Linked DNA regions of Lepisosteus oculatus. The protein of the gene in region 4 interacts with the protein of the main gene of each other region in a pairwise test. Links are inferred from orthologs where the notes say so. Each region holds a gene or a part of one and is shown on either strand. Other genes may lie near its edges. The genes, in order: txndc12, tma16, bcam and klhl2.

Region 1 (7,963 bases), on a different chromosome or scaffold from region 4:
ATATTTAAAGATGTCTATCCTGCAAAGATCGACAGTGAAAATGAAAGAAAGGGGACGTGGGTGGAAACTCAGAAGTTGTGCATTTAATAAGTTGTTGCAGGAGTCTGGAACAAGCTGCCCAGCCCAGTTGTGGAAGCCGATACCCTTGAATGATACCTTGTATTGCTCTTCTACTCAATATTAAACAAGGGGTGAATGATGTTTAGGTTTATACAATAACTAGAACTTTGGTATTTTTTGGGTAAATGTAGTACATAACTTATATAGTTCTAATTAAATAATGTTAGGATATCTAATTTGAAGTGTAGGGTTTAATTTGAGGAATTGGATGCCAAACTTGTACAACAATCAACTAATACCTCATTTAGAATATTGTGTACGATTTTCTTTCTTACAAAAATAAATATTGCTGCTTTGGAATCAGTCCTCAGAAGAGTGACCAGATACATTCTCAGACTTAACATGTGCCACGTCAACAAGCTAAAAGAACTAAATATTTTCGTCTGGAAAGAGAGGATGTTACAAAGGGGACCAGACCAACACAAACCAGCAGATCACAGTGGAAACAATGGGGGAAAAGGGCCTGTAAAATTGAGAACATGACACACTTCTTCACACAAAGAGTGGCGGGGGTGTTGAACAAGCTACCCTGCCATGCAGTTGAATCCGATACACTGGCTGCGCGAGATCCTGGGTCCAATTGGCGACTATATGCCGAACGGGCTGGCTGGGGCGTCTCAGGTTCTTACCTAGCATCTGCTTCCCTTTTGCCATCCTCCAGACTCCTCCAGTGAATATTATCACCAAACCCTGCAGAACAACAGGAACAGCGGGATCATCCCTCTGCCAGTGGCGGAGTTAAGCCGACACAAGCTCAGAGGGAGTTTTACTCTCTTTGGTCTTTAAAAAAAAAACAAAAGAGTAGCCAAAGCATCTAGACTGGAATGAGGGAAAAAGTTCTTCAAAGGCTTCAGTAAGATGGCTTTGACTGATACCGTAACCATCCCTTGAATAGAATACCAGTAAATGGCTTTCAGTGCACTGTGCGCCATACCAGTTACCTCCTCCTGTACACTTGTTAACAGACAGCTTGGAGAATTCATTTCAGGAGCTATTTTAATAGTTTACTAGGAAGATCAAACCAAAACCGCTAACAAGAGTCACATACTGCACATAAAAATGCAGTCAGTGGGGAAAAACGCGCTGAAAGTGCTTCTGAAGATATGCTTCCTTCTTTAATGAACTCAAAGAAAGCAAGAGGAGGTCTCTCAGAGTTACAGTGATGTTTTAGATTGAGGCAGCATTGAGGAGTAGTGTTGAGGCCTCCGGGCTGCTCACTGTAAGGTAGTAGTTTCAGTTCCTGTGCGAGGTATTGCTGTTGTACCCTTGAGCACAGAACTTCCCAGAGACTTCTTCAGTAAGAAACCTAGCTGTATAAATAGGTCATTCTGTACTGAAGTGTCAGAAGGACAAAGTAATGGCAATGAATATCTTTCATAACCATTGTTCTGTTACTACAAAACCTGACTGTGACAGCTCCAGGTACAACAATGATCTTATTCACTAGCTTGACCGGCCTTTAGTGTTTCGCGACACTCCTAGTCTTATATTTCAGTTTTGTATATCATATTGTATTCTGACAGCAGATTACCCATTCCTCTCTACAGAACAGGTTGCCTTTCCTGCTGTGCACGTATTGTCAGGACTCTCTTCTCCACTGGCTGCAGGAACGAGAGGAGGCTTAAAACACTGAGGAAGAGGACGTAAATGATGAAGGACCAGTGCACAACTGGCAGCGCCAATAGGCACTGCTTTCGAGCTTTCCTTTTACCCAAGCTGGTTAGTCCCTCATGGAACCTACCTTTCCTTAAACTGTGATGGCTAAGCTCATTCCACTGGTTTTAGAGTTTTCAGCATATTCACGGGAAATTAGAAACCCGCAGGACAACTGCAATGTGAGGAGCAGGTCAGTGTGCTTAGGTTTTGAAAAAGTTAACAATAATCCAACAAAAATGCTCAACAACGGCCTGCTCACGTTTGTAACCGTTCTCATGTCCTAAATGAATCTGATTTACCGTATTAAATAAAGATCAAACCGTCTGTCCTAGAAAGTCCTAAGAAAGTCCGATGACCTCCCTTCATTTATGGGGAATTGGAGAATCACATGAATGGCGAAGTTTTATTGTAGAAAACAGTACAAATGGAAAAACAAAACCGTAGCATTTAAAAGGAGATAACCTGATATATTTTGCAGCGAAACTACTTATTTTTGACGCAAAGAGAATCGGATTTCCATTAACAGCACATTAGACAACACTTTTCGAACTTAACTTGCTGGCATTGTCGTGGAACCTCGTTTGCGTAAACGATTTGTTACAAATGTGTAAACGTATCCCTAAATACTTTCGCAACACTGTAACGCATCAGCCAGGCCAATAAGGATTTGTGAGTGTGATTATGCAAGATAAAATATTATTTTAGTATAGTACATGCGAGCATAATAGATATTTCACGAAGGATTTTATTTATACACCAGAAAACATGATTAGTTCACCTCTTCAGTCTCAAATGAAATCTACATGCTACTACTGTACATGGATCTCACTAGTAGAACTGCAGTATGAATTTCACGATTTTCGGAGATTAAATAACCATTAACTAAAAAAAACAGTTCGTCCCTCTCTCTCTCTCACCCACACAAGGTTCACAAAGATTTCTGTAACAGACATGCAGTGATGCCTTCAGTGAAACGCGCTGCCGACCAACATGAATTCAACATTCATCACCAAAATATAGCACACCTCACCTCTGCCAAGCCCCTCTCCTGTAACCACAGAGAGAACGACCAAAAAGCACAGCACAGTAAAATTAACCAGCGGCATCTGCATCTTCATTATGAGTTTCAGATTTCGGTAAATATAGGACTCAACCTTGTGCCAAGCCACCAAAACAAAAAAAAAATCCAACCCCCCACCCCCAGCGTAATTTTACTCTCCTGGTCCGACCTCATCGAGGAAGTGACGACAAGCTGCTGGCTCGGTCTGCGTTTTTTTGTAATTAAAGGGATCGTAAATATTTCACCTCCATTTTCCATACAGGCGCACGGCAGTGCTAAGCAGAGAAGAGCACGTTTCCAAGCCGCCGTCCGGGGGATTGCCACTCTATCTTGAGTTACTTTTGAGACGAAAAACTATTCCAGCAATATTTTTGTATATTATTTAAATGAAATAAAAGGTAGCACTCATATACGGTTGCTTAAAGGGGAATTTTAACCTCCTCTTTTATATGTGATCAAATATCTTAAACTATTAAACTCAACGTTCAGATAACAGTGTTGTTGTTAATTGCTATTATATCAGTGCATGGCTTCTATGAAATAAAACAATCTAAAATTCTAGCAATGGACGGTCTATTTTAATATTGGCTACAACATGTGATGCGGTTGGCAATATGTGAGAGCAGTCAGCGATGGGATGAAGCAACAAAATACATATTTGGCTAAAATATTATTGAGCAGTAGTTTGACGTTCCAAAATTATTGTATTATTGAAAATAATTTGTGATATAATTTAAATACAATATTATAATTTTGTGATATTTAAGGAATTATTAAGTGTTAAAAGTCATTAAGTAAAACTACTGTTACAGAATTTTCTATCTAGTATACTGAATTATAAATTATTGTGACCACCGGAAGTCGTGCCGGCGGACTGTTATTTACTGCGACACCGCGACAGCCCTCTCTTCCGCCAAGGCGGGGGGCGGGGCCTCTGGCCGTCACGTGATAGCGGACGCAGGTTCTCCCTTAGATCCGCCATCTTTCGTCGCCGCGTGTTCCTGTCTCTGCGTCTGTGTCTGGATCCCCGTCAAGAGAGAGGCCATCTCTGCTGTAGTGGTGCAGAGGGGACGGAAAATAGAAAAACAGTAAAAAAGGTGCGGGGAAGAAGGTTACCGTGCGAAACGAACCCATAGAATGTTGTCATCTTTTTTTCCCCGGCCACAGTGTGTGGACAGTGTGGTATTTGCTAATGGTAGCCTGCGTAAATACTACTGTGTTGGCTGAAAATGGGCCTTAGCGTTTATTCGTAAGAAATTGAAGTGCTGGCATAAACCTGGAGCTGGATTTGTGGGTATTTTTGTTCGTATGTGATACTAATATCGCGTATCAGAACAAGTGGGCGCATTCTTGCTGGGTGTGCTGGTCATTTTAATAAAGGCACGTTCATTGTGACTACGGTGTGTGTGTTTTATCTCGTACGCTAGGCAGTGCGCCGAGGGCAGAACCCAGTTGCAGTTTCTCTTTTTTTTTTCTTTCCTGATCAGTCAGTGTGTGCTGACATGCCCGTGAAAGAGCGAGGTTTTATCAAGGCGCCGATTAAATGTCCTCTTGTCGTTAACACGTGTTTTTATTGACATTTATGTCTGTCCCTTCTCGTGTGAAGTGGATCTGTTGGGGACAGCCTTGGTTTTTACGTGAAGGGTCACTATGATTATTCCTGTATTTTTTTTTTCTGCATCTAAACCGAGTTTTAGGTTGGAAGCTCTTGATGAATGCTGGACCTAAAAAAGGTTTTTAAAGCACTTAAGTAAAACTCAGTTGTCCCCCTGCAGAAGAAAGTAAGTTTGAGGTTTTGACTGAAGTTCTTAAAAACTCCGGTACATGACTGTAACTTAACAGCTTTATTCACCAGCTGCCTCTCCTGTGCTCCGTCAGGCACAGCTGCTGAGTGAGGTACCAGCTCTTTCTTGTAAAAGTAACAGAAGCTGCTGTGTTCTTTTTGTGTTTCAGATAACGCTATGAATCAAGAAAAATTAGCCAAGCTTCAGGCCCAGGTTCGAATAGGTGGAAAGGTAGGAGTCTTTTTTTTTCTCACCCCCGATCTCCTCTACAGCTTGTCTTTGCTATTCAAAGTAGTAACAGAATAAAATCCGGTCAAGTTATCCCTCTCAAATGGCTTTCATTAGTACAGTTATTTTGAACCGTATGTCTTGTTCTTTTGTTATGTACTTTTGTGATTTCTTCCCAAAAGAACAAGGCAGGTCCGCGGCAGTCACATCGCTGACTAGCGCTTCTTCAAGAACGCAAGGTCACAAGCCAGGAGGCCACCTGGCTTGTTTAATTGATAGATGAGGACTGAGTTCTGCTTGCTGGCGGACGGTCTGTTTTGACACGCTGTACCTGTAAACCCGTCGATAAAGCCACACCAGGCCTGACCCTGTCAACTTCCAGCTCTAGGGGCGTTGACCCTGCCGGTCCCAGTCGGGATCAGACGATCTCGAACGGTTGATCGTGATGAGAAGCCCTGCGTTTACAGTCCACTCTAGGTTGGATCGGCAGTGCGGTTAGCCCCGAGATCAGTAACTCAGTAACTCTCCTGGTTATACAGTGTCGTGCTGCCAGTCAATGCAACACCAGCACATGGAGGCCAGGTTTTACTCGATGGGCATTCTGGGCGACATTTCTTTTTGCCGTCGGCGGCAACATCGGCTGCTCGACGCTTGCTCGGTCTGAGCATTTGCACGGGATCAGACCGCCACGTGGCTGAAGCTGATACTCATGGCTTCCCACGAGGAGCGGCCCCGTAGGATCCTCATGGCTTTAAGCTTGTAACTACAAAAGGGACAAGAGGGGCCGGATGGCCTCGTCTCGTTTGTAGCCTTTCTTGTGCTCTTAATGACGTCGGTCACGAGTGAAGCTGTTCGTCCCTCTTCCTGGGAAGCCGGCACACCCCTGAGGAGAAGGTGCAGTCCGAGGCAGGGTTCACAGTCATTCACCCTGCCGTTCTGGGAGTGGGGTCAAGGTCTACTGGGGTTGATCGGATGAGAATCAGAAATGGCCGTGTCAGTGAACCTGTCGTTCTGTGACTCATCCATTTAATAGTCTTGCGGCTTTGATAGAGCTGAGCATCCCTTGATAATGGCGGATGAAGGGGATGACTTTGAAGCTCACCCTCCGGTCAGTGGAGTGGGACACGGACCCGTTGAGCACTGTTTGGAGACCCCTGTTATTTGCCGCTTGGTCAAAGCAAAGGGGTAAAAAGAAAAAAAACAGCTCTTCGTGCTGTCCACACAGGCCCTAGTTCTGCTTGCATCGGCATTCCTTTCATGGTGGTGTTTGGTTTGTGCCATTCATGCAGGGGCTGGTGGCTTTTACCAGCTCTGCGATTTCAAAAGGACAAGAGGCTCATGTCCCTCTACTGTCCCATCTCTTCAAAGCCATTCTGTAGAAGTTCGTTTAGTAGTATGGCTTCTAGCAAATTTTGGACTCTGGGTTTTGGGATAGATGATGGAAAACATCCAAGGGTTTAATTTAAGCCAGTTCTTCCAGGTTTTTGATGAAAACCTATGTTCTTTGTGATTAACGGGAATTGGCTGAAATGTTAGCTTAATCTCAAAGAGAAATGTTGTCATTCTCTTGCAGTTTTGTTTTGGTTATTCATTGCTTTCCACATCCTGGATCCTCAAAACTGTTCCTGGCTTCCTCCACTCCTGTTGTTTTTGTGCGCGCGCATGTGTGCCTCTGTCCCACGTTTTCTCCTGTTCGGTCTGCAGGGAACAGCGCGTAGGAAGAAGAAGGTGGTACACAGAACAGCAACGGCTGATGACAAAAAACTTCAAAGTTCTCTCAAGAAACTGGCTGTGAACAACATTGCAGGCATTGAGGAGGTGAGTAACCTCATACAAGCCCAGTGTCACAGGGTCTGTTTCATTGGACACCAGTGTAAAGTAGCGGTGAGGGATCTGGGCTTGTATTGAGAAAGTTGTGGGTTCAAATCCTGGGTGAGGCACTGGAGTTGGACGTTTTAGCATGGCACTTCACTTGGGTTGTTTTTGTAGAACGCCCAGCTGTATAAAATAGGTACAAAGGTAAGTCACATTGGATAAAAGTATGAGCCAACTGATAGTTATGTACTTAAGGATCTTCTGGCCCTTTCGTGATCTGAAACAATCTTGAAAGGAGTTCCTTAACGTGCGCAAAATAGCAAAACCACTTCGTTTAGCCTGACTGTCTTTAATGTGGCATGTGAAGGCAGATGTTGATAGTAAAAAGAAAAGACCCGGATAGCAACGCGATTTATCCCCCCCCCATCGGGAGCTTGTTCTGATCGGCGGGTTGTCTCCGCAGGTGAACATGATCAAAGACGACGGGACCGTGATTCACTTTAACAACCCCAAGGTGCAGGCCTCCCTGTCTGCCAACACCTTCGCCATCACCGGCCACGCGGAAACCAAGCAGCTCACAGAGATGCTCCCGGGCATCCTCAGCCAGCTGGGCGCCGACAGCCTGACCAGCCTCCGCAAACTCGCAGAGCAGTTCCCGCGGCAAGGTGTGTGTCCTGCAGGTGATTGCAGGTCAAGGGATCTCGAGATGCCCGCTTTTGTTTTGATGAGTGATGTGTGCCGTTTAAGGCTGTTGCGGTGGCGCAGTGGGTGAGCATTGCTGCCTCCCAGCGCTGGGGCCCCCCCTGAGTTCAATTCCAAGACCCGGGGAGCTATCTGGGGGGAGTTTGCATGTTCTCCCCTGGTTTGCTTTGGTTTCCTTCTTTGGGTGCTCCGGTTTCCTCCCGCTGTCCAACGACCTACTGGTAGGTTAATTGGCTCCTGAGAAAAGGGGGCCCGGTGTGGAAGGGTGTGTGGGTGTTGGTCGGTGTCTGTCTGCCCCGTGATGGATCGGCGTCCTGTCCAGGGTGTATCCTGCTTTTCGCCCGTTGCTTGCTGGGATGGGCTCCAGCTCCGGGGGTGCAGCCAGAGGGGAAGCACTAAATATGGCTTTGCCTCCCCAGCTGCCTCTCCATTTTCGGCGTTACCTAAAATCCTGCACCGTCATCAATTTACCCACAAAATAAAAAGTAAATGTAGGAAACAATTGACGCATCTAAGCTGTTTTTTCAGAGAGCGTACACGTAGCCTCTGTTAGCAGGGGTCGGTGTGGACCGTCCCTACGCCGCTCGTTGTGAAAGCA
Region 2 (7,356 bases), about 240 kb from region 4:
TTAAAATCTAGAACAGGAACCGGAACAGGAACAAGGAGTTAAAATAGAATAATGAGGCCAGGCGCTCTGAGCCCCGGGCTCAGATGGCCAGGATGCCGGGGAATAAGGCCTGCCCTCGGGCTACCCGCGAGACCGGGGAATAGGCAAGCCATGTGGCGTCCATCTTCCAGTGTTGAGCCAGGAATAGCGAGAGCACCAGCCTTTAATAATGACGGACAAACAGGGAGCAAGTGCACCTAATGAACTAAAATACAAAAGAGTCGGAGCGCCCTTAAGAGGATGGATGACGATCATGACACTCACTCCATTGAGTCCAAAGGTAGACTGTCTCTTTCTCTCACCATTTCCTTTATAAACTCCTCTCCTGAACAACAACTACTTAAGGAGTGATTTAAATTCCATTTGAGCCTTTATCCTGTGAAATTACTTGTAGAATTCACAGGGTGAATACTTTGTAGAGCAGGATCCAGGGCTGATGGCAAAAGTTGGTATACCACTCTACTTTTGTGATAACCTACTTCTTCAATAATGCAGTGAACTCTGCTGCAACTAATCAAAGCATTCTTTTATTAAATCATTAATATCCCTTGTGAGCCAAATAAAAATGCATTTCAGAAGACTGAAAAGTATAATAAATTAAATATTATGGAATGTTCCAAAGTATCAGACATACAACATTACCATGAAAGAAAAATCTTGTCATTCTCTTGCTGACTGACAGAATATTAAAACAAGAAACAAAATATTTGCACCTGACATTCGGAACCGGAAACAAAATTAGATGAAAGTTGCTTGTAGCCCACAGACACAACACTGTGAAGTATACAGTAGGTTCTTTAAACATACAGTGTGTGGGCATCCTGAATTCAGGTGGCTACCAAAGGTTGCAGAATATACAGTATATCTTGTACAACCAAGGCACTTCTTTTCAATAGAAGATTTGGGTGTGTCGTAAAAACTTCATATTATGCAAAGCATCATACAAGAATTTCAAAAAGTAGTATGGTTGCCTTCTGTTACATTTCTGATAATAAAGTTGGCTAAACTTTTATTTGAGTAAAATTTATTATATACAACAGAACTTTCTATACATGACTACAGGTGCAATATCCTTAGGCACGTTCCTGCAGGACTCTCAGTAGTTCATGACACTTAATTTTAATAATCTAAGACATCCTCATGATTTTGTACATTATGCTCATATTTACAAAACATTTCCACCCACCAAATTGACACCTGTTTTTATCCAGGATTTTGACAATTGTTCATTTTTTGAATTCTCATTACAGCATCCCTAAAGGAAGTTTTCTTTCTTGATGTTGTACAAAGTTGATTTTCCTTCTGCAAAAACACATGGATTTTAGGACATTAAAGAAATTATATCTAAATGTTATTTAGTAACTTAATCATAGTAACAGATTATATGCCAAGAAAGAGGAACCCCAGAGTCTTCACTGTAGACATTTTGTCCCAAGACTAAGAAATAGACTTAAATGAACAAACCCTGCACATCCTTTATATAGCAAACTACTGTATGTGAGATTGTGCAGAGACCCTCCACCATCAGTCTAAATCATGACACATATTATTTTATTTGCTGTAGTTATTTTAGGATTAAATCTATACTCTCTTAAGAATTTTCTTGGAATGTGACACTCACTTTTTCTATTTCATAATGTTCTAGTACATTTCTCAGTGTTGAGAAATACTCAGCTGTGTATTTGATAATACATAACTGTTACATTTATTAAATAATATTTAATAATAAATAATAGTGTTTAAAGAACTTCATTTGGTCAAATTCTGTTTGAAAATTGCTCTTAAATTATCTTTGATCAGTGATAGTTATGTATGTTTGCAAAGCATATTCCATTTTCCCATTCATTTTTATTTTAAATGGAGATTATATATAGTGTTTACACTCACAAGAAAGCAATACAGTATCTTTATTTTGTAAATGTAAATGTGTATACAGAATTGTAATAGGTGGTAATATAGTCAACTAGGACTCCCAGAAATGTGAATTATCCCATGAAACAGATTGGTCTTTTTCTGTAGACGAATTCACTCATGTTGAATGGGGGCTTTTAAAGATAATTGAGTAGTAGTTGATGAAACTCTGCATAAAAACTACAAAGTAATCAGACATCAGACAGGCACTGATCCAAATTGTTCTAAAAAAAGGTGCAGAGGTGAACTTTTCTTTTTCATTTATGAGACATCTTACTTAATGACGTCTTTAGTGAATAAGACTGTTCAATTAATTCACATTTTACTTCCATCTGCCTTGAAGAAAATAGCTTCGAGTGAGTACAGGTGTTAGACACTTATTTTTGATTGCAGTGAATTGGGCTGGAAATAGACTCCATCTCCCCTTCACCTGCTGACTGTTGTCTGGTTTTAACGGATTGGCAATCTTGCCAGGGCCATGCTGGAAGGCTGGGTTAATGGGAGCATCATGACAGAAAACAAAATTAATCAGTACAGAAAAGAAAATGTGTTTTCCATATGGAGACAAGTAGTTGGGTAGGTGCTGAAGCTGGTCTTAAACTTGTTTTGATGCTCAGGATTCTCTTTTGCCAGCCTCCAATATATGCATGAGAAACTTGTCACATACAAAATGAAGAAATATGGGGAAGGATGGTCTAGAACTGAATCCTTTTGACCAGGGCTCTGCTCCTGTTCCCTGGCCAAAGATTTAACTGTACAGACTGAGTAATCAGATAACCTTTAGATAACTTCCAGGTCCAGTGCTGCTGAATTTTTTAACGCTGCTGGCAAACCAACCCTCTCCTTTGCAGGGTGTCAGGATGTCTCCTCCTGACATAAAAAAACAAGCAGTAAACAGGGATCTCTAAACCTACAGATACCAATGCCTACCTGTGCAGTATTTACACCTAAATGTACTCAGTTCCTGAGAAAGCCTGAACTCAAATTAATCCAGACCTTACAAAAAAGCATTCACACACAAAATTCAATCATGCCTCAGAATAAGGTATTGTAGCGAATTCAGGTTCTTGGGGTTTCTGCCCTTACCGCTCTTGCCCCAAGTCGTCCTCCGCCTCAGAATCAAACCCGGGTCTCCGGCGTCGCTCAACAGGGATATTGCCGGCTGAGCTCAGCCCGGACGGCCAACATCTCTGTTATGCGCAGGGGAGAGGGCGGTGCCGTCACCGCGCTGCAACCGGCTCGTACAACCTGTATGTCGGCCGTTCGTTACAGTATACTCAATAATAGGGAAAAAAAACAACAAATAATGAGGACACATTAATAATCAAAGCTGTGAAGTTTTCAGTCCTAGCTCAGCATTTTCCTTGGTAATAAAAACATAAGAAAGGTTGAAAACCAGAGTACATATTTTGATTGCTAGTAGCTAACTACAGTAAGTGGAGAATAAATGAGAGTTTACAAATAAAGATCTTATCCAGTCCTTTCTTGAAGAAAGCACTGTTATTGGCTTCTACAACTTGAATGGCTAGCTTATTCCAACATCTTACAACCTATTGTGTAAAAGAAATGCCTCCTTTTGTCATTTATTCTGTGTCTCACCTATTCATATCTCACCACTTTGTAATTGTAACCCTTGTCCTCTGATTCCTGGTAGCAGGCAATAACTAATACTATGTTCTCCCTTATGAAAATGAAATATATTGCAATATACCAGACATAATGTGTGGACATATCTTTCAGTATAATGCAAAATATATTTACTTCAAATTTATAGATATAAGATTATATTTAAAATGTAATGAAATAAATATTTACCATAATATATTTTAACAAACATATTTCCAAATATATGGTGTATAAGATATGAAATATACTGTCTCTCCAGACCCATGTTTCTGCCAGATCATTTACTTATTTATCTTATTTATTTATCTGGAAAAAGCCAAACAGTTTTTCCACATGAACACTTTATTTTGAACTCCCTGTAGCTCACTATAAGTAGTTCATGCAGGTAGTTGCGTCAGCATGCATAGCCTGCAAAGGACCAAGGTTTATTCCATGCTGAAACAACGTTGTTTCCTTTTGTTCTCTTTTCAGCACGACTGCTACACAAATTGCAGAGATTAGGTTTAGAAAACTGGCTAGTTGTGTACAGTAGGTCTCAATGGCTCATGAACACTGCACCTCTAAGAGAACTGTACACTCCCCCCGTAATCACACAGAGCTAGTTCTTCTACTAAGTTCTAGTGTTTCTACTTGCTGAACTGCATTATCTATTGTGACGTCCTACGGGTCCAGTCCAGGTCTCTAATGGTTTCACCTGTGGTAGTCAGGTGTTTTAGCCGAGAGTTAACTGTATAAGTAACATTCATAGCGATTAAATTTCTACTATGGGCAAGGGAGTAAGGTGGAAAAGGTGAACAATTAAAAGGCATTTGTTGCATCGTTATTCCAATACCGGAATAAACCGAGGATTTACTGTACCTTTTTTTTAAGAATTAGGAATGTGAAGCCGTAGAGTAAATGGAAGACAAAAAACATATAATTTCGTTTATATGATAAGATGCTCCTTTAGGTGTTGACGTGTGGATCAACAAGTTTATTATTATTATTATTATTATTATTATCACCAATGTGAAAAACAAATTGTTGCTATGATGATGAATATGGGAATTTCAGTAAAGGCTAGTGTGAACCTCCTTCATATATAAGCAAAAAATCACGTTTACAGTCTATTCCATCTCTAATAACGAAACACCCCGTCTTTTCAAAGGACTGTAATATAAGGGAAGGGGTTACCGATATTGCTGTATGTCCATTAAATCACGAATGAATTTTTTTCAACGCCGAAACGCATATGAGAATTTATGTATGTGTGCTTACTGGATCACTGTCTGAAATTAATTATCATAAATATACGATCCTTTCCACTGTATCGTATATACAAAGTTTATAAAAATCGCTAAAGCAAATGAAACAAATATCCATGGCAATGTAACTGACCTATCCCGACAGAGTACCAATGCTGATCATAAATTTCAATATTGTATAACATTTAACGATATTTTATCATTTGTGCATTTCATCGTTGTTGCGTGTCAAGTCAGGTTTTTCTGATTTTACAGACATTATTCTGCTTTAGCAATTTTCGTTCTTTAAATCCAAAGTCCGTTAAACTGGAGGTTTACTGTACTCATTCTCTCCGGAACATCACATTGCGGTTTACTGAGATCGGGGAAGAAAAATATTGTCGTACCATTTTCCGTTTTCTCTCACAGACGGAGTTGGGCACGTGGGATACAGCTCCTTGACAGAAATGGTGAGTTTTGTATAATATATCATAAGGTAACTTCACTTGTAAAACCAGAGTGATGGCATTTTATACGATTAAATAATTTTTCCCTTTAACATTCTCTAGTTCTAGTTTAAATTGTAAATTTAAATATCTGTTCATGTCGATTACTTTTGATGTTACTTCTAAGTAGCAACTTGTCTGATCAATATATAGATATCTGTATTTAATGCAGAGTTGATATAATAACGTCCTTATGTTGAGATGGCTTCAAGGTAACATACACCGAGGTAAAAATAAAAAACGTATGCCTATTTTATTTTAATTTAAACTCCTTGATAGCCAGCACTACACCAAGTGAACACTAGTCGTGTTCAATTGCAGTACATGTAAACTATCTCTATCAAGTACTATTGTGCAGAAAAGGCACCCTTTTCCACAACTGAATAATCCAGACATTTATCTCTAATGTTAGTCCCCCTAAAATGGGGTTTCTGTTTTATCGTACGTAAGAGAAAATTTCCAATTTTATTAAGTGTTGAAGCGTTTTCAGTAGCATTCCCTTAAGATTTTTGTTACCTTTAATATATGTCTTAATGTTTTGGACATTGTATATATGTGTAAGTATGTCATAGTGGGTAAAGCACTAACCAACACACTTGTTTCACACCGCCGTGTCTTAGCCTAAAGCCCCCAAAGGCAAAGGAGCGGCGGAGAAGAAGGTTGTTCACCCTTACAGCAGAAAGGCTGCTCAGATAGCGAGAGGGGTTATCAAACAGGAAAGGAAGGAAAGGTAAGAACACCTGGCGGATTCCATAGTGCTTTTGATCTCTTGGAAAAAGAGCGAGCAAAGAAATACAATAATTGAAAAATACCATCGACCCATGAGACCTGCATGTGTGTCTCCTTCCTGTATTTCCACAAGAATATGCCAAGCTTTTTATAGGGTTATTTTTCCACATGATTATGATGTTTTAATAAGCAAGATGCACTACATTAGTATGTAAAATGTCCTTTCTCAGAAAAATGTAAATAGTGCATTGGTTAGTTTGGCTTTCTCCCACCAGTAAAGATCACATGCATTGATGTTGGGTATCGAAGGCATCACAGACCAGTCTTTTCAATGTGAATCAGGCAACTTTTTAAAAAGAATTCTAGTGTCAAAATTTGGGTTAACATTTTGCAGACCTCAAATTATATTAAACTACCATGTTACAGCAGAATTCCCAGTCTAATAAGATTTTCATAAATACTCAAACCGGTTAATTCATGTCCTTTTGCTCCCTCTACTGAATACTGTAAGACCTTCAAGCAATTATTTAACAGCAAAACACTTATAACAATTGCAGTCTCAAATGACATGTATTAAACTCTTTGAACCTTTTCAGTCAGATTTAGACAGACCTAGCATTGGAACAGCCCTTGTTAAATTACTTAACGATTTGCTCCCCACTCTAGGTCACTGCATATTCATTTACGTCTGTACCTAAGTGCAGCTCTTGACACTGCTTGATACAGCCTTTGCACTGGGAACATTATGTATGTATCACTTCTGTATTCCTTCATTGATTTGGCTCCTTTTTGACTACCTAAGAGGCAATTTATAAATCTAATCTTGGCTGTTTAAAAACTGATGCTATTACGTTTAGGTTTTGTGCTGGGGTCTTTACTATTTCGTCTTGCATCTTGGTGTAATTATTTGCCATCCTGGACATGAGTTTTGATGTCATGGTGACTGAATTATTTTCAGAGCAGATCAGATACTGCCGCTGTGGATTTTGCACATTACCGGGTCATTGATATTAAAAGAATGAATACAAAAGAACTCAAGCTAAGCTGTGGCAAACCTAAAGTTGTGCTCCTAAGCTCCCCCATGAGCTTTGCAAATGTGTTGAACTTGGTGTTATTTCTGGACCTGAGTTGTCATTTTAAGGGATGTGTCACAAATGTTTTTTATTCTCCCACCTGTAAACATTTCTCACTTGAATTAAGAAATGAGAAATGTTGTTACGCTTTTATGTAAATTGTACATAAAAAAAAACAAATGGGCAGCATTTTCATTTCATTATTATAACCATCATAGGTTTCATTATTAACGCCTTCATTTTTTATTT
Region 3 (7,610 bases), on a different chromosome or scaffold from region 4:
CAACTTCATCTCGCTCACAGAGAGAGAAAAATGTTTGTTAAGCAATACGGGTTATCAGCCGTCTCTCCTCTGAGGTTTACAGGCGAGCCCGATGAGTAAACAGCTCTAAAATAAGAGAGGGGTTGAAAACGCGATACGCAGACCGCAGGCAGGATCAACATCTGAAACCCGCGGTTCCTCGGAAATTCATTTTCACAGGACGTTTCCCAGTAACTGCGCGACCTTGAAAGAAAACCTCTCTTGAATTAAGGACCGTGTTGTTAATTAATTCAATCTCTCGCCAACTTCAAAGGGCGGAATCGTTGTAGTGTCACGACGCATTCCTACTGCGGGGTGTCGTTTAAAAAAAATAATTGAAAGATGATTGAAACCCGGGGCGACTAATGCTGAGATAATTACTCCAGGCAGGAGGTCCGACTTTGAAGGGAGAGGGTACCTCGCGTGAACTACCGGACCCCCCACGACCGGCCTGTCCGATCGATTCTCTCCGCCTCGCGCTGAAACCCCGGAACCCCGGAATCCGAGAGGAGCCCGTGCGGCCGTTGGGATTGTGGGATCAGTCCCACGCGCGAGCGTGGAATAGACACGCAGGGGAGTGTCAGCCGCTGCGGGAGCCGGCGTGGGCTCGATTATTGTCGATGTTATCGATGCGGTCGCCTCCGACTGTGCACGAACAGGGCTGCGCGTCTAATGACCTGCTGTGCAGGGCTGGTGTAGTGGCAACAGCACTAGGAGTCGTGTTGTTATCTGAGTGCACGCTGGTTTTCACAGGACGAGGTGTTAGAATTAATGATAAACAGAATTGCGCACACTTGTATAGCGCTCCACTCAAAGCTTTTCACAGGGCATGGGGATCCCCTCCACCCCCACCAGTGTGTCCCCCCACCTGGATGAGCCAGTCCGCTCCCCACACACCAGCTCTCAGTGGGGAGGAGAGCAGAGGGATGGAGCCAGTTCAGATTATTAGGAGGCCATGACTGGTAAAGACCAGGGGGGAAATTTGGCCAGGACACTGGGGTAACACCCCTACTCTTTTAGAGAAACACCCTGGGATTGTTAATGACCACAGAGAGTCAGTTTGCAGGGTGACACAGCTGCTGAGTGACAGAGCTGCTGTTCTGAAGTTCTAGACTTCATTCCTAAGGTATCGTGCATCAGTCCTCCTCTTCCTCTCTCAGCGCCGTACAGACGGAGACACGCTGAAATCCCCCTCTGTCATTAACAGGGCCTGTCACAGCACGCACACACACTCCTGGAGCGTGGAGATGAAAGAGTCTGGAGAGAGGAGGGGATGGAGACAGAGAGAAAGGTAGCATTTTGCCAAATTCCTTTCCTGCTGCACAGCGAGGCACAGCGAGTGCAGTGTCCCGGGTGAGAATCACAGCCTGCCAGCACTGCTGCTGACAGCACAGGGAGTCTTCCACAGTTTACCACAGTGTGTACTTCACACAGCCTCTTAGTAGACCAGTTTACCACAGCATTTACCACAGTGTTATAGTGTTTTACAGTATATACCACAGTGTACTACAGTGTGTTCTAGTGTACTACAGTGTGTTTTGTAGTTTGCTACAGGGTGTGATGGTGTATTTCAGTCCAGTTTCACAGCAGTCCAGAAGCCTCACCCGAATATTCCACCACTGGACCCATCCCTGCGCCATGGGATCACAGCGATCGATCAATCAATCAATCAATCAATCGCCCTGATCGAATCCATCAGATGAAATCCGATCGATAGTGGAGCCACACGCTCAGACTCAGCTCATCTGCGCGCACGCGAGTGCCGGCGTCCCGCCCCGAACCCCGGTTCCGCCGGTCCGAGAGCACGTGCGAGACCCGGCCCAGACGCCCGGCACACAGCGCGAGGGAGCAGGCGGCGCGAGGGCACTGACAATGACGCAGCAACGGCGCTGCTCGCGGCGATTCTTCATTCAATTAAAGAGACTGTTTTCTGTTCCGTCCTGTTAGTCCCACGCACAGGGCAGTGCGCTCTCTTCATCCGGCACGGTGAGCCCTGAAACACCAACCGGGGGACACCCGGGGGACTACAGGGAAGAGCTTTAAAACCCACAACAGGGGGCGCTTCTTTACACAGAGGGCGGTGGGGGTGGGGAACAAGCTGCCCTGAAGCCGGTAGCCTGGCTGCTGTCCAGGCGCAGCTGGGCGAGGCTCTCGGGTCAACCCGGGCTGGGTCTCCTGCGCGCGCCCCTCCCGCCAGGCTGTGCCCGCGCGCAAGAATCTGCCCCCCCAGGCGCGAGACACCAGGCGACCCCCCCCACCACCCCGCTTGTCCCGAGCGGGGATCGTCGGCAGCACCTAACCAGGGACCCGGCCCGGCCCAGCAGAACCACGCAGCTGTGGCGCAGTGCACACGGCTCGGGAGTCCCGGGGTCCAGTTCGGGGAGAGGAGTCCTGGGGTCCAGTTCGGGGAGAGGGGACGAGTCTGACGGCGAATAAAAAGTGTTTGATGGGGTACAAGGGGCACGAGGGGAGACGCCCCCTCCCCATCTCCCCCAAAACAAACACGGTCGTCCGCCCCCAGCAGCGACGGCACCTGCCGGGCGCACCTGCCGGGCCGGACCGAGCCGAGCCGAGCCACCCCGGCGGGAGACGCGACCAGACGCGTCCAGACTCCCAGCTCGAACTTCTCAGACACACGCGAGACCAGCACGAGTGGGCGAGCGGAGGTGAAGCCGGAGTGGGAGTCCTCGTCCTGCCCAGACAGCGACCCGCCCGAGCCCGCCCGAGCCCGGGACAGCGGCTCCAGAAATAGACCGGCTCTTACCGTGCAGCGCCCACAGCAGCCAGGCGCAGAGCGGCACAGCGCGCCCGAGCCCCCGGAACGCGTCCATTTCTCTCCCGGTCCGGTCCGGTCCTGTCCTGCTCTGCTCTTCTGCTGCTGCTGATGCGGTCCGGTTCGGTCCTGCTCTCGGCTCGGCTCTGTGCGTCTGTCGCTCTCACTCCCTCGCTCTCGCAGGGCGCAGAAAGATCTGTTGCGCCGCGCTACTGTGTTCGCCTGATATACCAGCACAAAAGGTGACTCCCCCACTCCTCCTCCCCGGCAGGCCCCCCCCTCTCCCCTCCCCTCCCCCCGCCCCGCTGTGGTGGGGATCAGCGGAGTGAAAACACAGCGCACGGGAGCGACCTCGCGGCGCCTGCGGGCGAAATCACCGCGAGCGCCGTCCTCGCGGGCCGGCCCGCCGCTCAGCGCAGGGGATGCCGGACCGCGCGCTGCAGCAGCAGAGCACCGCCGTGTTCGTGCCTGCTCCGTCCTGTGCCCGGGGCTGGGCTGGACTGGACTGGGCTGGGCCTGCAGCTACGCGATTGCTACTGCAAGCACTGTGATTGTTAATGGTGTCCCTGCTGTACTGGTCCTGTTAGTGTCCCTGCTGTACTGGTCCTGTTAGTGGTGTCCCTGCTGTACTGGTCCTGTGAGTGTCCCTGCTGTACTGGTCCTGTGAGTGTCCCTGCTGTACTGGTCCTGTTAGTGGTGTCCCTGCTGTACTGGTCCTGTGAGTGTCCCTGCTGTACTGGTCCTGTGAGTGTCCCTGCTGTACTGGTCCTGTTAGTGTCCCTGCTGTGCTGGTCCTGTTAATGTTCCTGCTGATAATCTACTGCTGTCACTGTTCCTGCTGTAAGCAATTCTACTGTTAGTAAGCAACTGTACTGTGAGTGTCCCTGCTGTACTGGTCCTGTGAGTGTCCCTGCTGTACTGGTACATCCAGTCCATACATACATGATAATCTGCTGCTGCTGCTGTTCCTGCTGATAATCTACTGCTATTTCTACTGTTACTGCAGCCACAACTAATAATAGTTGTATTTTAACAAACATTCCTGGGATTGTTGCGGACTGATGTGTGAGGCTCACGAGCTCTTGAAGAGCCTCACCAGCTGTGTGCTCACAGAGGCAGCTGTCGAGCCGCCCAGAGCCCTTTCAGCTCGTACGGATTCGTGGCCGAACAAGTGCTGTGGACAGGGAGGGAGAGAGAGGCGTAGACCAGCAGCCAGACCCACTCCCAGGCTGGAGGAACTGAGTCTCTTCAGTCTGAAGGGAGAGTCCCACACTGACAGGCTGGAGGAACTGAGTCTCTTCAGTCTGAAGGGAGAGTCCCACACTGACAGGCTGGAGGAACTGAGTCTCTTCAGTCTGAAGGGAGTGTCCCACACTGACAGGCTGCAGGAACTGAATCTCTTCAGTCTGAAGGGAATGTTCCACACTGACAGGCTGGAGGAACTGAGTCTCTTTAGTCTGAAGGGAGTGTCCCAGGTAGTGTTGTGGGATCTGAGCAAGCATTCACAATCTTCACAATTACTGGCAGTCAAGCCGGCGGACGTCTCCAGATCAACAGTGAGACATGAATCACAGAACACAGGGGGAAACTACAGAGAAGTGCTGAAAACAGGAGATCGATCTTTACACAAAGGGTGGAGGGAGTGTGGAACAAGGGAACAAGCAGCCAAAGGAGCTAAGAGGTCTGACCGGCCTCTCGTCTGCGGGCGGCTGGTCAGGGGTCAGGGGTCACTCACAGCTGCAGGCCAGCGGGGTTCGTCCACAGTGGCCAGTCAGACCTCAGCGACATTCGTCCTTCGGTTTCCAGACAGGTGCCGGCTGTGGCCGTGAAGGTGACTGGCCGGCGCTGGACGACCGCTGGCCGGTCCAGTCCATCACAGGGCTCCATCTGGGAGGGGGGGGAGGAAACAGGCCACGGGGGACCCCCCAGTCCGGAATCGAACCCGGGATCAGTGCGCTTTGAGGCAGCAGTGCTAACTGCCACTGCAGTGAGCCACCCAGACAGGTGAGGGAGTGGGACGGAGAGCAGGGGGGCTCTGTGTGACTGTACTGTGACACCCCCGTGAAAATAATAATGCCATCTGAGCTTGGAGATGACATGGAGGCTCCTCATCCATTATTCACACGGATTCTCATCAAACACCCTTAACAATATTCCTCCTTCATGAATTCCCCCTGTCCCCCTCTCTCCCCCTCCTGCCTCTCTCTCTCATCTGTCTCCGACACCCGAGGGCTCTTTCTCCCTCTCCCCTCTCCATCTCTTCTCTCCCCTCTCCACCTCCTCTCTCTCCATCTCCCCTCCCCTCCTCCCTCGATCTGCTCTCTCTCCTCTCTCCTCTCCCCGTCTCTCCCCTCTCATGTCCCTGTCAATCAAACTTCAAAGCAGCTGCACCACGCCACCAGCGGCCAGAGCACAAAGCCGCGATCAGAAGGATCGCCCCCTGCCAGCGCCGGCCCAGCAGTGACAGGAGTCGCCCCGTTGGGAACCCCAGCAGAATCACAGGCGGCTGCTGCAGAGCTGCGTCCTCCTCTGATCCGCACGGCTTTTGTTCACACTTATTACTCGTGTGGTTGGATTGTGGAAATATTCTCTGGGCATCAGCGCGCCCGTCCGGACGCCAGCTGTGTGGCGCGATCTGTCTCTCTCTCCACTTCATCTTCACACCCAGCCAGTGTCCTGCCCCCCTCCTTCCCAAACTCCCCCCGGGCCACTTCCAGAACCAGTAGACCAGTCCAGGCCCAGCTCCTGAGTCAGCTCATCAGCCGCAATTAACAGCACGATTACCCCCATCTCCCAGCCATTACTGAGAGACACACACTGGTACTGTAACACTGTGTAGCCACACACACACGCACACGCACACTGGTACTGTAGCACACTGTAGCCATCAGCGCACACACACACACACTGTAACTGTAACACACTGTGTAGCCATCAGCACACACACACTGTGTAGCCATCAGCGCACACACACACAGTAACTGTAACACACTGTGTAGCCATCAGCACACACACACTGTGTAGCCATCAGCACACACACACAGTAACTGTAACACACTGTGTAGCCATCAGCACACACACACTGTGTAGCCATCAGCACACACACACACACAGTAACTGTAACACACTGTGTAGCCATCAGCACACACACACACTGGTACTGTAACATAACACACTGTAGCCATCAGCACACACACACACACTGTGTAGCCATCAGCACACACACACACACTGTAACTGTAACACACTGTGTAGCCAGTGTGACCCATCTGCACACACACTGGTACTGTAACACACTGTGTAGCCATCAGCACACACATACTGTAACTGTAACACACTGTGTAGACACACACACACACACTAGTACTGTAACACACTGTGTAGCCAGTGTGAGACCCATCCACACACACACACAGTTACTGTAACACACTGTGTAGCTAGTGTGACCCATCAGCACACACACACTGTTACTGTAACACACTGTGTAGCCGCACACACAAGGAATGTAGTGTTCAGAAAGCCCTATAGGAGTGTATCCAAATTTGCAAAAATGACTCACAATCCAAAAGTCAGCATTTTTGAATGAGTCCTGTAATGTGTCACGGAGAGAATAAAGATCAGTATTGTGCTGCTATAAGGTATTGATCAAATACTTCTGGAGACTTCTGGCCATCACAGAGGACAGTCACCACCCTGGGCATGAGCTCCGAGAGACTTTCTGTAAGAATTCCATTGTACCAGTACACGTACCGGTTACATACGGCAATCAAGTTCAAGTTCATCGCACTGTGATTTACTGCACTATACTGGGCTTTTACCCTGATCTCACTGGGCTTTACGGTTGTGTACTGTGCTTTTATACTGTAATTCCCTGCACCGTACTGTGCTTTTACCCTGCTCTCGCCGTGTTAATTCGCTGCACTCCCAGATCAGTTCTATAATCCAGCGGAACTGGTGGTGCCGAGAGTCCAGAACACGTGGCACGCGCCGGCCCGGTCGGGTCGGGGTCAGGACGAGCGATGCGGTGTGCTCTTTGTCCGCGTGCCCCTCTGTGTCACTCTCTCTTCTCTCACTCCGGTGCCGTGTTCCCACACTGGGCACATGACGCCCGCTCCGGAAACCGCACGGTCTGTGACTCAGCTTCGCACTTAGTGATGTCACCGGCGCTGAATCGCCATGACGTATCGCCCGAGCGAGCGGAATTTACCGATATCGCACGACCGATCGATATTACGCTGCTCTCTCCGGATTCTAGTAAAATGTCTGAAGATACAAAATAGTAGGAATAATATTTATAAATATTGAGCAGTTCTGATTAAGATATAGTGTTAATGTGAGGCTACAGAGGAGCTGGACTGAGTGTCTCTACAGTGACTCTCCAGCTCTGATGATGATGAAGGAGTGTTAGTGTGAAGATACAGAGGAGCTGGACTGAGTGTCTCTACAGTGACTCTACAGCTCTGAGGATGATGAAGGAGTGTTAGTGTGAAGATACAGAGGAGCTGGACTGAGTGTCTCTACAGTGACTCTACAGCTCTGATGATGATGAAGGAGTGTTAGTGTGAAGATACAGAGGAGCTGGACTGAGTGTCTCTACAGTGACTCTACAGCTCTGATGATGATGAAGGAGTATTAGTGTGAAGATACAGAGGAGCTGGACTGAGTGTCTCTACAGTGACTCTACAGCTCTGAGGATGATGAAGGAGTGTTAGTGTGAAGATACAGAGGAGCTGGACTGAGTGTCTCTACAGTGACTCTACAGCTCTGATGATGATGAAGGAGTGTTAGTGTGAAGATACAGAGGAGCTGGACTGAGTGT
Region 4 (6,850 bases):
ATTGCTCCAGATCTGTCAAGCTATTTGAAACTAGTTAACTTCGCTGTACTCAAAATGATAAGTAACCTGCTCCTGATCTTTGTCTCTCTATAAATTCAGCACTGATTTGTTTTGAAATCGCCTTGTTCTTCATGGTCAATTTGTTGTACCGCAATATCGTGACTTCAAAATCAATATCTTCTGTACCTAAGAGTACTTATAGAGACAGATGCATTTACACTGAAGTCAGCTTCCACTTTGATTCCACACACAGAGAGACCATTATACTAACTTTGTAGGATTTCAAACTATCCTTTAGCTCCCGAATTGATTTAAGGCTATTGTAGCAAAGAGGAGGAACACTTTTGCAATTGAATAATTTCTTTGAGCACCTAATTTATGTACAAACTGTCAGCATTGTTAGCTCTGTCAGTTTAGAACTGATTATATAGATTTTTTTTTCAATTTTCCAGTTATGGAACTATGGAGCCAAGACATTCATCAGAAGACAAAGGTGGGGAAATTTGCCCATTCATCCTGGTAGATTTGCTCAAGTTCTTAAAAGTGCTTGAGCATTTAGCTTACAAATAGCATTTTTCAAGTCTTTCCACAGATTTTCAACAGGTTTCAAGCCAAGACTTTGATTGGGTCACTTCTTTTATTCTTAGCCCACTACGGTGTGCTTTGGTATTGTGTTTTGGGGTTGTTCGCTGAAAAGTGAATTTTCATCGTCGTTTTAGGTCTTCAGAAGACTGAAGCATGTTTTCCTCTAAAATTTGCCTGTCCTTCACTCCACCCTGTTTCTCCCAGTTTTTCTCCATCATTCCCTGTTGAAGAGAAGCAGACCCATAACATCATATTGTTACCAAAAAGTTTAACAGCAGGGATGGTGTTGACTGGCCTTCCACTAGATGTAACATTTGCATGTAGACCAAAATGATGCAGTGTTGTCTTGTTTAGCCACAAAACACGTTTTGCCACTTGTTTACAGTATCACTTAAGTGTTTTGTTGCAAACTAGGTGAAGGAGTTGAAATGTTCTTTTTGCAAGAATGGCTTCCTTCTTTCCAATATGCCATACAAGCCAGCTCTGTCTCATGGAATCATATCTACATGAAGTCTGTAACTTTTTCAGTCACTGTTGGCCTGACAGTGGCATACCTAACTAGTTCCCTCCTTGTCCGACTGCTCAGTTCTCACCTAGACAGTCGTCGACTTCACTGTGCTCAAAGGGATATGTAGTCTCTTTGATATTTTTCTATATTTCTATAGAAATAAATAGAAAATATAGAATATGATATTATTCTATATTTCTATATTTTCATCTCTTGTTCTGCGCCTTTCTACAGCCGTATCCCTGAGTTGTTTTGAAAGGGTGTCTTCATAGCTGAAAATGTGCTTAAAATTCACTGCCTGACCTTTTTTATTCTGAAACCATATGAATCACTATATTCCCCACAGATAGTGGCATATCAATTGTTGCTTTAAAGTGACACGACAACAAGTTTTCAAGTAATGAATTGTGATCACTAATTGTCTGAGTACTATTGGCACTCTATGTACAGTTCTGTGAGATTCAGAGCCCTGTCATCTACAGGCATACAGAATTCTGCCCCTATAATCTTAAAACACAAAACATTTTTTTGTTTAAAAGAGAAAACCTGCATCTTGAAACAAGTTCAGGATTTAATCTTCCTCTCTTAATTTGTGCTCACGGGCATAAATGGAATCAGAATTTCCAAATAAATATGCCTGCAAACTCTCTTGTATTATAATGCTCAGATTCTTGTAATCTTTCGGCATTCAGATTACCTGGACAGAATCTGGTTTCAAGTGGGATTGGTGAAAGGCACTCTCTCGCAGCACAAGCTTCTGTAATGATGTCTATCCTTTCCTCTTTCTGTTTCTCAAACCTGTTTCATGGAGGCTGTCTCAATGGCCTCACTGATTGTTCCAGCTTCCTTAAATCAGTATATCTGTTTTAATATAGCTGTTTAAAATGATCTAACAGTGATTTGGTTTAACCTTAGTTAATTACAAGGTCTCATTTTTCGTGATCCATACCTTTTGCTCTGTTTACATGTCTCAAGGCCAGTCGACAGCTTTTTAAATACAGGATTACAATATCTATTGTTCCAAACCTTCAAAATAAGGCAATCAAGATGAGAACTGTACACAAGCTAATTTGAAAGTGTAACTCAGCAACCACCATTACTGCAACAATGTAGTATATTTAATTTTTCAGAAAGCTTTAAAGTTCCCCATAAAACTGTAATTCTTAACTAGCAGTTAGCATCTAACTGATAGAAAGCATGCAGTTCAGACAGTGGTCAGTTAGTGGTAGATGCTGAAAAATATTGCGATATAATCAGTAATACCACAAGAATCTATATCCATTGACCACTGTTCTTGATATTTTACATCAAAATCATTAACATTCAAAATAAGAGAGCTTAATCTTTTTGTATCGAACGACGAAGATTATGAGGGAACCTGATTCAAATATTCATATCGATGAAGGCATTGACAAAATATACCTCTTACACTTCTTCAGAATTTGACAGTGAAACATGAATAATAGAATAGAAATGGAAACTATGGGACGATACATTTAAAATATCACAGAGGGAACGTTTTTATATGAACAGCAGCAGGTGTCTGTAATATGAGATGTTAGTCGTTCTGGAGAAGCTGGTACCCTAGCTTCCTTGAAAATATGGTTGGATAAGATTATTGGATTGCTTAGCTTCTAACAACTAATTGAAGTAAAGGCAATAACAAATCGTTTGAACAGCCCACAATGCTCATTGGAATGTAACCCACAGTTATCACAATATCCCACTTCAATTTATAATAATAATAATAATAATAATAATAATAATAATAATCATAATAATAATAATAATATAGAAGTTATATAGAGCCTATAATGCTAAGGGGGACTCCACTCCACCACCACCAATATGAAACACACACCTGACTGTAAGTGACTTAAGTCTCTCAGTTTTGGTGTTGGAATCTTGACTTTCCTGCTAACGTTAGAATCTGTTGGATAATATCTTCCATGTGTTCTATTTTCTTGGACAACAAGTAGACTTTAAACAGTACCATCGTGAAAACCCCTTGAGATTATTGCTATCATTACCCATATGCTGCTGTCGTGACAAGACAGCCGCTGATAAACACCTATTTTGGTGTGTTGTCTTTAGAGCTGGTGTTCACTTATTAAAACTAAACACTGCAGTTATGAATGTTTGGCAATATAGGCCACATAAGCACACAGTACTACAAACAGCTGCAATACTTACATAATCAAAGATTAGTAGCATAAGTTACTTAAATACATTAATCATGGGGGACTCAACTTTTTATTAAGAGCTTACACATTTATTTGTGCCTGAACAACTTTTAATAGGTGATCAATTCACAGACACAGACGTGAATGACAATGAATCAAACACTAAGGTAAACTTTTTTTTTCCTTTTCTCAGAGGTCCAGCCAATCACAGTTCATCTAACACACCAGAATAAGAGAAACTCCGAAACTAAAAAAATGTGTATTGAGTTCGTAACACCAACTACAATCCTAATCACTTTCTTAAGAGAGAAAGAAAACGTTAAAACAAGCCTCAGATGGAAAACAGAAATGAAATGGCTTGTGGAACTGGGGACAAAACCAGAAAACACCTGAGCTCCTGAACGAGGTGCGGGAGGAATGGTTTAAGTAGTGTAGTACTGTTTAAAAAAAGTTGAAAAATTTTGACCGGTTTTCCATGTTGGTAGTCTTCCACCAGCAGGGGGAGCTACTGTTTTTTCTCAACAAGTCTGTCTGAAGACGGTCTTTGCTGATATATCCTTGTTTGTGTATTTTAATCATTGAAGGAAATAACAGGTAGTTCACTGTGCTGCTCGTAGCATCTGTACCTTGGTTTTGTGTTCTTCAATATGATCAGTGACTTGGATGGTATCTCTTCGCTCTGTCTGCCGTGATTTTCTCGCTGCAGTGCTTTAGCGAGCGGAATACGAAACTGCTTCCAGCTGAACACTTTTGAATATCAGCAGACTGAATGACACGCGATTTATCGCCCGGCAGAATGAGTGCGAATTAGGAGGACGCTATCGAAATGGATTGGAACCCCTTCCACCGGCACAAAATATAAGTGATCGGTGCATTTCTTTATTTAAAAAAAGACCCGGTTCTGCGATGGAATGGTGCAAGCCGCCGCGTTCACTCCCCGCGTTCTGAAGAGAGACAACACAATGGAGATACATCCAATGTAAGCGTATGGTGTAAAACGTCCATCGTTTCACCGGTGAAGCTCGGAAAACAGGTTAAAGATAGCTGAATACAGAATAATACAAGCGTTAAGATAACCAGACGGGTCTGTGCTATAACCGTTTTGTTGACGAGCCCTCGAATAAGAGCGGTGTCTGTATAAATACAGCGATGTAACAGTGTGGGGTGGTATTGTTCCCCGGGAGACCGGAAGGCACTGACCGCTCCATTAGGCTACGTTCATCGTATAGGAATAATATAGGTGTTATCAATATAGGTATATCTGTTATGCGCTAAGAATCCCGTCAAACGAGAGAAATAAGGAAATAATGCTGTTGTATGTTGTAAACATTCTAGTTCTTCCATCTTGGTCAATACTGTTTTATTTGATGAAATCTAAAGCAGTCGGGTTTCTTTTTTTTGTGCAAAAAAATAATACATTAATGAATTTTGTTCTCCATTATTTTGATTGTCTTGAGTATGAATCGGTTAAAAACTGTTTTTAAAGAAACTAATTTGATTTTGTTTCATCTGCGTCTGACTAGCCCTTATAAGCTACATCCATGTACACGTCGCAGACTAAATTAAAGATTAGAAATATGATGCAGTGTTTTAAAAATGATTTTTTCCCTAGCTAAATCTAATAATCTAGTAACTAGCAAAACGTCATCAATTCAGTTTAGCGATGCCTGCACTGATGATAATGGCTTTTAACAACATGACAGAAACCTATGCATTTGTAATGTTTATTTCTGATGTATTTGAGGGGTCGTGAACTATGGCTGTATTAACTGGGAATGAGGTAAAGTGCACCCCATTATCTTGGTTAAAATGCTTGATTGGCATCTCGTTGTAAGAGAAAACGCAAAAAAACAAAAGGTAAAGAAACAGCAAAATTGTTTCTTGCAAATGACCAGATGTTTTTTTCTTAACGGTTACTAAATCATTTGCTGGTTTTTAAGTACGTGATATCTGCATTATAGAATGGCGGTGTTTGAAAATAACATATTTTAAGGTACTTAAATACTCTAAACCAGATTCACTAACACAACCGTGTTTCTTACCATTTAGTACAAATGTTATGAAACGGCTTTGAAAGTGGGTGTTCATTTTTTTTAATAATGCAATGGCATAATGTGGTTCAACAGACTTCTTGTCATCTTTAGTAATTATATTTCAGAACAATAAGTCGACAATGACGATCTCTCACGAGAATTCAGTCATCACATTACAGACTGCAGTGTCTATTTACAATTATTTAGAGCATGGTCACACTTTATCTGTAAAATCACTTATACTTTGCTAGGAGTTTCTGTTGACTAAGTCTGTCTACGTATAGTATTTAATTTATTCTAATGATGTTTCTGTTTGTTCTGAACATGAATAAAGCAAAGGGTAATTATAGAAAATTGTTTAATTTATGGTAGTAAAAGCTTATGTTTGCCTGCTGCATGTCTGCCAACAACTGTCTCATATAAAGCTGTTCTTAGACTGTTATTTTTTGAAATACCAGACTTAAAAATTTTAGATTACAAACCAGGCATGTTGAAAATGGTTTAACTTCTGTTTTCAGGGTTACAGTAGGAAGAAGTCAATACTGTACTGGGGCTTAGTATTTCAATGGAAGTTTTATATTTCCTTTTACTCAGCACTGTTATCATGACACAGATCCCTTAATTTGGCACACATGACTGACCAACCAGACTAGACACTGAAAAGGCCATGGAATGATTGTATTGTGTTCATTGAATTCACATTTCTTTAAACCATCATACTATAGCTACACAGAGGTGCCATGAACATTTTTGTGTTCTGTTTTTTCCCATATCAATTTTGAAACCTTATTTTACCACCACTTGTTCCTGACATTTTGAAGTGAAGTGAAAGTCCCTGGAACCTTTCAAGCTCTGTAACTTGGCAACTGAACTTAGGAAAACCAGATAATTACAATACATAGGAAATTTGTGGCATGAAAGGCTTGCATCTCATGCTCTGTGCCATTTGATAACTGCTGCTTGCAGAACAGTTTTGATGTTCTGTGTTGTAGTCTCTCTGCTGCAATAATGCTTCATAACTTAATATAATATGAAATTAATAAATAGAAAACGCAGTGAAAAAACGTTTCAGTAACAGTATCTGAGACTGTAACATTAACTGTATTCTGTGTTTATCTTTATTGTCTGTGTAACACATACACCCCTGTGTATAACAGGGATCTCAGCTGCCCGGTCTGAGGGAGGTCTCCTTTAGCTCAGCTGGCAAGTTTCCTGTTGCGTGATGCCAGAGACCCAGGTTTGTGCCCAGCCAGTGAGAGACGAATGGGCAGGGCAGGAGCAGCAAGGGCAGAAACCCCAAGAACCTGTCTTTCATTCTTTATGAAAGAAATCATTGTAGAAGTGTTGGTTGTTCACAGTTTGCCTATAGTAAATATAGTATGATTATGTAAGCCAGTTGTTCTTGAACATTGGCTCTGATTTAGGAATAGAAATTGTCCCTTGGACAATTGGGCGGTGCTGTGGCTCTGTGGTTAAAGATCTTTGCCTGTGGCTGGAAGGTTGCCGGTTTGTATCCCCTGGCCGGCAGAGGAATCCTTCTC

The links.
Region 1: the proteins of klhl2 (region 4) and txndc12 interact in binary tests that used the Homo sapiens proteins (3 or more experiments, as listed by UniProt). The two-hybrid records come from large-scale screens. The link is inferred for Lepisosteus oculatus from reciprocal best matches to the Homo sapiens genes KLHL2 and TXNDC12.
Region 2: the proteins of klhl2 (region 4) and tma16 interact in binary tests that used the Homo sapiens proteins (3 or more experiments, as listed by UniProt). The two-hybrid records come from large-scale screens. The link is inferred for Lepisosteus oculatus from reciprocal best matches to the Homo sapiens genes KLHL2 and TMA16.
Region 3: the proteins of klhl2 (region 4) and bcam interact in binary tests that used the Homo sapiens proteins (3 or more experiments, as listed by UniProt). The two-hybrid records come from large-scale screens. The link is inferred for Lepisosteus oculatus from reciprocal best matches to the Homo sapiens genes KLHL2 and BCAM.

Annotation. Positions count from the first base shown.
Region 1 is NC_090704.1:3,618,467-3,626,429, reverse strand, and holds the start of txndc12 (thioredoxin domain-containing protein 12), read right to left. Parts: upstream 3,005-7,963; 5' UTR 2,895-3,004; coding exon 2,807-2,894; intron 811-2,806; coding exon 750-810; intron 1-749. Other genes in the region: btf3l4 (transcription factor BTF3 homolog 4), read left to right, coding at 4,798-4,851, 6,553-6,666, 7,127-7,328. UniProt on the Homo sapiens protein: Protein-disulfide reductase of the endoplasmic reticulum that promotes disulfide bond formation in client proteins through its thiol-disulfide oxidase activity.
Region 2 is NC_090696.1:22,441,380-22,448,735, reverse strand, and holds the start of tma16 (translation machinery-associated protein 16), read left to right. Parts: upstream 1-4,341; 5' UTR 4,342-4,366; intron 4,367-5,228; 5' UTR 5,229-5,266; coding exon 5,267-5,269; intron 5,270-5,925; coding exon 5,926-6,035; intron 6,036-7,356. UniProt on the Homo sapiens protein: Involved in the biogenesis of the 60S ribosomal subunit in the nucleus.
Region 3 is NC_090722.1:10,514,289-10,521,898, forward strand, and holds the start of bcam (basal cell adhesion molecule), read right to left. Parts: upstream 3,022-7,610; 5' UTR 2,850-3,021; coding exon 2,783-2,849; intron 1-2,782. UniProt on the Homo sapiens protein: Transmembrane glycoprotein that functions as both a receptor and an adhesion molecule playing a crucial role in cell adhesion, motility, migration and invasion.
Region 4 is NC_090696.1:22,199,495-22,206,344, reverse strand, and holds the start of klhl2 (kelch-like protein 2), read left to right. Parts: upstream 1-3,834; 5' UTR 3,835-4,187; coding exon 4,188-4,255; intron 4,256-6,850. UniProt on the Homo sapiens protein: Substrate-specific adapter of a BCR (BTB-CUL3-RBX1) E3 ubiquitin ligase complex that mediates the ubiquitination of target proteins, such as NPTXR, WNK1, WNK3 and WNK4, leading most often to their proteasomal degradation.